2 linked regions of the Arabidopsis thaliana genome follow. The protein of the gene in region 1 purifies or fractionates together with the protein of each later gene. This does not show direct contact. Each region holds a gene or a part of one and is shown in the gene's direction. Other genes may lie near its edges.

Region 1 (4,047 bases):
AAGTAGCAGTCATAGGAAGCATTGTTCTCCAGAATAAGACTCTTAATGTTAGTGTTCAAGATGATATCATCTTGTGATTTATCACAATGATTATCGTTTGGATTTTTTTTCTTTTTAATTGAAACAGAGAAACTTTTACAGAATTGTGTATTACATGAATTGAGTTCACAGGATTAGATTTTGAGTAAGTGAAACTATGGAAGATTTGTAAACTCTCACTGTACTTTGTGTTTAGATACTAAAAAGATTTTAGAAGAAAGAGTTTTAAAAGATCTAAGATAACAAGGAATCAAAGAAGTTTTGCTTCTTGATTGTGTAATCACTAGTGTTCAATACCTCCTTAGGCTCCTTTCTTTTGTGCAAATTGCTCACTAGAAAAATTGTTTATCTTGACTTCGTTTGTGGGGGTAGGCCCGGACATAATACCGGAACCCGAAGAACCGAACTGAACTTGACTCGAAATAACCAAACCCGTTCTACTTCGGTTCCGGCTAATTACTTGATCGGGTTCTGTTTTCAAATAACCGTGGGTACCGGAAATTACCCGAACTGAACCCGATACCCGTGGGTACTTTTTATTACCCGAACATATATATACATAGGGCTGCGCATATGGGTAACCCGTTCGGATTCGGGTAAAACCCGTTCGGGTTCGGGTTAAATGGGTAATGGATTTACTACCCAATAGGGTAAAATGAAAATTTTCGATTTCGGTCTAGTTCGGGTACATTCGGGTTCGGGTCGGCTTGGGTAAAGAATTTCAGGCCCTAAGAATAGCCAAACAAATGAAAACGGGTATTTTATGTGTAGATAGCGGGTACCCAACAAAAAAAAAACCTTAAATATTAACAAATTTTAATAATTTAATTAGATTTAGATATATTATACTAAATTTTGACAAACATAACAAATAATTTTTAAATAGTTGGGTATTTAGATCTAAAAGTAATTGATATATTTAGATTTATAATTATAATTTTAGATTATTACATTATATTAAGATTAAATATAATTAATATTTTTGATATTAAATCTATGTTCGGGTATCCTGTTTGGGTAACGGATAAACCCCGGACCGACCTGATACCCACGGGTTTACTAAAACTTTACCCAATGAAGTAATTTCTTAAAACCCTAACCCACCCCAACCCGATTTTTCGGTTCGGGTATCAGGTTCGATATCGGGTCCCGTTTTTTGCCCAGCCCTATATATACATATGAGGATATATATACACTAATAATGTGACTTGTTTAATGATTTGAGTTATGGAACAAGCTTAAAACAAGGTTTACTTCTTGTTTTATATTATTGGCTTAAGGAAAAACTTGTTATAATTTCAGATCTTTCGGGTTTTATGGATATTTTTATGTATGTTTGGGTATATTTGGACAAAGTTTGGGTAAGTAGTACTCAAACCCGAAATAGTTTTGGTTACTTATGGTTTTTTTAACTAATACCTGAATTATCGGACCCGAAGTGAAGCCGAACCGAACCCGACCCGAAATTGTTGATATAACCATACGGATCCAAAATTTCTAAACCCAAAAATTCGAACCCGAAAAATCCGACCCGACCCTGACCCGAATACCACATGCCCAGGGCTATGTTAGGGGAAAAAAAAAAAATACATGTGGGCTTAAATGGGGTTTGAAATTAAAACCGGTCTGAATAGACGGTTCATTAAGAAAACCGGCAATTAAAAACCGAACTTCATAGAGAGTCTTCTTTACGCATTCTCCGTCATTCGGTTAAGTTGCATCGATCGTTAGGGTTTTATCGAGAGAGCAAGGAGAGCGATTTCTCAAATCGACTTTAATGGCTGACGACGATTACAATGAAGTCGATGACTTGGGGTAATCTCTCCCTCTCTGTTTCCTATGTTAGTATCATTTGTACTCGATTTCAGTTGATTCTATCTTCTTCTTCCCGACGAATCGTAAACGATTGAGAACAATTGGATCAATTATTGTCTAGTTTGAGAGTCTATCAACGAGATTCTTTTTTGAAAATTTGCTTATTGTTCTGGCATCGTAGCATTGATTATAATTTCATATTGTTTAGATAGAAAACCCTAATTTCGTTTGAATCTTATACATCGGATTTCAAATTGTTGATGTTATGTGGTGATTTTCAATTGCAGATATGAAGATGAGCCAGCAGAGCCTGAGATCGAAGTAAGTTATTATTTGTAGAAGAGAGATTGACATTGCTTATTATTATTACTAGGCTGATTAGAATGTGTTGGTGTGAGTAGGAAGGAGTAGAGGAAGATGCTGATATCAAGGAGAACGATGATGTTAATGTTGACCCTTTGGAAACAGAAGATAAGGTTGAAACAGAACCTGTGCAACGCCCACGTAAAACCTCTAAGTTTATGACTAAGTATGAACGTGCACGTATCCTCGGCACTCGTGCTTTGCAGATTAGGTCAGCTACTGAGAACAATCTTTGTTGATTAACCGTTTAGTTGGCTCGGAAAGTTTGATTCTATGTACTGTTGTTGGCTGATACAGCATGAATGCTCCTGTTATGGTTGAGTTGGAGGGTGAGACTGATCCACTTGAGGTGTTGCCTTCTTCCTTCTTGTTGTGTTTTTCATGATTTGTCAGTAAATGTTGATATGTATATGAACATTTGTGTTGTTTATTGTATGATTTGGCTTAAGATTGCGATGAAAGAGCTTAGGCAAAGGAAGATTCCATTTACCATTAGACGTTATCTACCTGATATGAGGTGAGATTGCATTAGTTATATCAATACTTTTAGCTCTTCTTTCAAATTTGATATCTTCTTTTCTTGCGACTTACTTATGACTCTGAATCAGTTACGAGGAATGGGGAGTTGATGAACTGATCGTCGAAGACTCGTGGAAACGTCAAGTCGGTGGTGATTGATAAAATCTGGCCTATGTGTTTTGCAAAGCTTTCTGCTCTTGTATGGATTATGAACTTACGATATAGTCGCATGTAGAACTTCTTCATTTGTCCTATTCTCCAACACTACAAGAGTCAGGGACTCCAACAAAAATGCATGAACAACAAATTTTTTGTCCCAAGTTGTTTTTGGACATGGGTTTCGACAAGCCTGCATGTACATATACAAAGAAAGAAAATCCTTCGTGAAACCAAAAGAAGAAAACATCTATAATAGTTTGAGTATTGAGTAAGTACAACTCAATTGATAAACCTTTTCTCTCACACTTCCCAGCTTTTGTCGTCTCACAGAGTCAGATCGATTGATGCATAAATGAGTGATGCTAAAAATCAAAAAGCAAGATTAGAGAAGAATTATGCATGTTGTTTAAAGAAGTTGAGAAATAGTAATGTTAAAAACTATGTGAAGCGCTTGCTCGAGGATTGTTTCAGCAACACTATACAAGTGACTGGACTCAACTACTCACCATAGTCTCGGCCCAACGCAAGGATAGTGTAGCATGTTTCTTGATGAAATACATCTTTCAAACCACCGTTTACACCATCTGGCATGAGAGGAATCGAAGACGTCATGATGAATCTCCAAAATCTGCAGCCACTCTAATACAATGGATCGACAAGCAAATGCGTTTCCAACGCTGGCTTCAAAGTTGAAGTTAATCACTAAATTGTTCATTCTAATTTCTGATTTCAATCTATTTCATATAGAACATATGATACACTAATTGTAACGACGTTATCTTTTTTGAATCTAATTTACCATTTTCCAAAAAAAAAAAAAAAAAAAATGCAGGGATTAGAGAAGAATAATGCATTAAACTCAAAGCAAATAACTGTTAAATAGACCTTGGGATACACAACGTACAAAATAATGCATCTACATATACATTTTTGCAGCCATTTTAACAAATAAATTCTGGACTTTGAACTTATTTACGACTCAATGCCACTGAATTTATGCTAACAGTTAAATCAAATATTTACCTAACAAAAATATTACCTAAAATCTCTCATATATTAACTCCACCATTACTTCAAACGAAATCATTCCTAAAATCTCTCATAAGTATTTATTAATTTTCGGTTTTAATATCCTGTAAAAAAAATCGATTT
Region 2 (4,088 bases), on another chromosome or scaffold:
TTGCTTTTCTGGTTATGTTTTGATTGATTTGTTATCTCATTTTCAGTGAACAGCTTGAAAGGCTCATGATGATAGATTCAGAAGAAGACCGGGGTCCCTCTGGGTTTGTGACCTTCTCGATTCTTTAACCACCAATCTTTGTTTTCTCTGGTCTATCTATGTTTTGATATTACTCTTTTTTTGTTGGTTTTGTTTCAGGTTTACGACTGATGAATTGATCTTTCAGGCTTTAGAAACAGTCTACGAGAATCATAATGGTCTTGATGTCGATGCGATTTTCACTTTTATCAAGGTTAGGAGGATCTCTCTGTCTCTATAAGTATCTGTGTTTCATGGTCATATCTCATGAGTAGTGTATATTGGTTCTGAAATGTGAGTCAATAGCGGGATTACACAATGGAACATTAGGATCTGAAAATTTGACTTCATGTTCCATCCCCTAAAAGTCTTCCTTTTAAAGTCTTGGTTTTGTTGATTCCTCCGTTGTTCTTGATCAACTAACCATCATGTTCTTGTGGTTAATATAAATTGCAGGAAAGGAACGAGTTACAGGAAGATTTTAGGGAGCGGTTGGAAAACCAGCTGAGATATCTAGTTTCTGAAGGCCAAGTATACAAGGTAACTAGTTTTTCAGAGTTGCCTCACACTAATGTTAAGATTCAGTAGTTTTGTTTGATCAGTTCAGAAAAACGGAAAAAAAAACTTGTAAATGCAGGTAGGAAACCTCTACAAGATCCCCCGTGGTGTATTTGATACTCCAGTTGTGTCAGTAGGAGATTCAAATCAAAGAGAAACCATGGATCCAGAAGATTCCACGGGCACAAAGGCACAAGACACACCAAGTACTTGTGCTTCTTTCGCACCACCAACAACAGAAGTAGATCCTCGGATAATCGCATTAGCAAAAGAAGTCGCAGAGGCAGAACACTTGGAGTTGGAAGCAAAAGAGGCATACGAACTTGCAGATAAACACGCCCAGTTGCTAAAATTAGAAAGCAACATAACCTTGCAGTTAGCCGTAGAAATCCTTAATCGATGTAAGTAATGTCCACCTCTTAACCTTTTATCATCATCATCATCACTGACTTTTTCATTTGATTTGGTCCTTGCAGGTGCTAACGGTGAAAAGATTTTCCTGCTGTAAAAGCTTTGACCTTCTGGTCCGGTTCAAGGTGGATATATTCGATCACCGGTTTCTTTTTAGTGTTTTTGGTTTTGAGTAAAAAAAAGAGTGTAGATATGAAATGTGATTTCATTTGACTAACTAGTCATAGTTTGTTACTTTGTGGTTAAATGATTTTGGTTGTGAAGGCAACAGACTATTCTGTTAGTTTTTGTTAATACAAGTTTTTACAGATAATGCCAATCTTAAGAATTGAATAGGTTTTTCTAATACATAACATAAGAAAGAAAAAAAGAAAGTGTGTCATGGTGTCTTTAGCAAGTATTTTTAACGGTCGAGATTAATTTCAAATACTGATCAAGAAAGAAAAAAATTAGTTATGAGAATTACAATTTTATAATGGGCCTCATTGTAAGCCCATTATAAGCTTACATAGGACTTTTATGAGTTTTTGTTCTCAGTCTGTCCCTTTAATTGTTTTTTGGCTCTTCTATCGCCCATCGCTTGGGAGATTAAAGTCTGAACTTTTTGATCTCAAGCTTCTCCATCTCTCCCTCAACTCAAGCTCCTGGTTCGGAACTATTTACTTTCCTATGCGATTGGTTGTTTATAAGTTGATTTCAGAGTTCGGATTCTTGTACTCATTAGATGTCCATATAGGTCTTGTTTACTGGTTTAATTGGGGTTTTATCAAGGAAATAAAGAGTGTTTAGGGTTTGAATTTCCGTGTTTGCAGATGGCGAGCAATATCATCTTGTTCGAGGATATCTTCGTGGTCGATCAGTTAGACCCTGATGGCAAAAAGTTCGATAAAGGTATACACTTTATTAGCCTCACTCACGATTTCTAGTACTTCTCATGGCTTACATCGACGTTTGTTCATAGCTGTTTAGTTCATGTATGTATTGTGAATGAGTTCTTCCGTTTATCCTTTTTTGGTCTGAGTGTGTGGGTTTTGTGGAAAAATTTAACTTTTTAAGTTTTTAGTCTCCCCCAAGTTTTGTTCTGTCTTCAGATTGAGTGGCTTTCTCTTAAACCTACAATGATTTTTGTTGTGTTTGTGGTTACAGTTACTCGCGTTCAAGCTACGAGCCACAACTTGGAAATGTTTATGCATTTAGATGTTAATACAGAGGTTTATCCATTGGCTGTTGGTGATAAGTTCACACTTGCGTTGGCTCCTACGCTGAATCTCGATGGAACCCCTGATACCGGTTATTTTACTCCGGTAATAAACTCTACTGCTTTTTATTTAGTTGTTTTGTTTTGAGTATATACACAGTCTCTTGTTTGCTTGGCCAAATTTCCATGAATGGTAACTTTGAACCCGTATCTGGATTTTGTTAGGATATAACTGTTAATGCTGCTAAATGGTTGATATTATAACTCTGTTGGCTGATTCGAGAAGCCTGTCTATCTAGGAATAAGAGGAGACATGGAATTTTAACAAGCTTTAGTTCTTGAATCTTCAAGATCTAAATTTGAAAACCAAGAATGTGTATGCATATCTAAACATTAATCTTATCTAGTTTTCATCTCGATACATTACAGGGAGCAAAGAAAACACTTGCCGATAAGTATGAATACATAATGCACGGGAAGCTTTACAAGATCTCTGAGCGTGACGGCAAAACTCCAAAAGCGTAAGAATCCCATATAACCCCCCCATATCAAAATAATTCAATCCAATTCAACTCACATATCAAACCATCATGTTTTATTTTATTTTCTTTAAATTATGTGTTTCCAGAGAGCTATATGTTTCGTTTGGCGGCCTCCTGATGTTGCTTAAGGGAGATCCAGCTCACATTTCTCACTTCGAACTCGACCAGAGGCTCTTCCTACTCATGAGGAAGCTGTGAGGTGCCATTTTTTCGGATAAAAACTGAATTAATAGAGAGCTTGATCTAATGTTTAACTTTTACTACTTCAACTCTTGCAATTTTCATGAAGCAACTCTTGTGCAAAAGCAAGTTTTTCCGTTCCGTTTTAAATCCCATTCCACAAATTGACTGCTCCGGTCCGGTGAAATGTACTATTTGTAGCTCTAAGCTATTGATGAAGATAAGCAATTGAGACCAAGAACATAACAAAAAACACAGACAAAGACACAGTTTTTTTTTTGGTCAAGGACACAGTTTTGTTTCTTCTCTAACCAATTTTCACTACACTCTTATCTTCTAACAACAATATGAAGCAATAAAGCTCGAAAAATAGATTCTGAGCCAAAAATAGAGTGTTTTCTCTAATCCATGCTTGTGTTTTCTCTAGTCCATGTTTGTGTTCTTGCTTCTTTGAGACTGGGAGAATATATCTTGGACGGTCGAGATTAGTCTTAAAAATTCTGAACAGATCAAGATTTAATTTTAAATCTGTATAGTGGGCCATGTTTAGGCCCAATAAAAGCTTTTGATGAGGCCTTCTAAATGGTATATATTTCGACTTGAAGAGAAAGAAAAAACAACTAGAAAATCGGAAGAATAAATGGACGGTGGAAGAAGGAAGCCCTTCTCGCCGGACTAGCCAAGCACGGTTCCGGAAAATGGACAAGTATTTTAGACGATCCAGAGTTCGCGGCTCAACTTCTAGATCGCACAAACATTAACCTCAAGGTAATCGAAAATTCCCAAAATCCCATTCGTCTTCCATGGAAATCGATTTTTGAGATTTATTATGTGGAATTAGGTCGAAATTTGGGTATTAATGTTGTATTGTTTATTCTTATTGCCCAAATTTCAAGGATAAATGGCGTAATATAAAGAAATCAAGGACACAATCACTCGAATCTACCTCCATTTTCACTTCACCTTCAGAGACTTCTCGTTCTGTTGTTAGCTATGAGGCTTCTCCTAGTAGTTCATCTGATATGAGCAATGATGCTAGGTTTGTTATATTTAGAGATTTTTTAGAATTGGTATGTTCTAAGTTCTAACAGGTTCTTCTTTACCTTGTTGCAAGGTATGAT

Evidence for each region.
Region 2: the proteins of NRPB6B (region 1) and NRPB8A fractionate together in Arabidopsis thaliana (co-fractionation; one large-scale study listed by BioGRID). This does not show direct contact.

The regions. Positions count from the first base shown.
Region 1 is NC_003071.7:1,618,016-1,622,062, reverse strand, and holds NRPB6B (RNA polymerase Rpb6), read left to right. Parts: upstream 1-1,683; 5' UTR 1,684-1,816; coding exon 1,817-1,854; intron 1,855-2,141; coding exon 2,142-2,175; intron 2,176-2,255; coding exon 2,256-2,428; intron 2,429-2,514; coding exon 2,515-2,566; intron 2,567-2,666; coding exon 2,667-2,734; intron 2,735-2,825; coding exon 2,826-2,895; 3' UTR 2,896-3,272; downstream 3,273-4,047. Other genes in the region: AT2G04650 (ADP-glucose pyrophosphorylase family protein), read left to right, coding at 1-77. UniProt on the Arabidopsis thaliana protein: DNA-dependent RNA polymerase catalyzes the transcription of DNA into RNA using the four ribonucleoside triphosphates as substrates. Component of RNA polymerase II which synthesizes mRNA precursors and many functional non-coding RNAs.
Region 2 is NC_003070.9:20,253,351-20,257,438, forward strand, and holds NRPB8A (RNA polymerase Rpb8), read left to right. Parts: upstream 1-1,587; 5' UTR 1,588-1,694; intron 1,695-1,859; coding exon 1,860-1,938; intron 1,939-2,193; coding exon 2,194-2,351; intron 2,352-2,674; coding exon 2,675-2,766; intron 2,767-2,873; coding exon 2,874-2,985; 3' UTR 2,986-3,338; downstream 3,339-4,088. Other genes in the region: AT1G54240 (winged-helix DNA-binding transcription factor family protein), read left to right, coding at 47-103, 199-292, 535-618, 716-1,037, 1,113-1,144; AT1G54260 (winged-helix DNA-binding transcription factor family protein), read left to right, coding at 3,990-4,006, 4,082-4,088.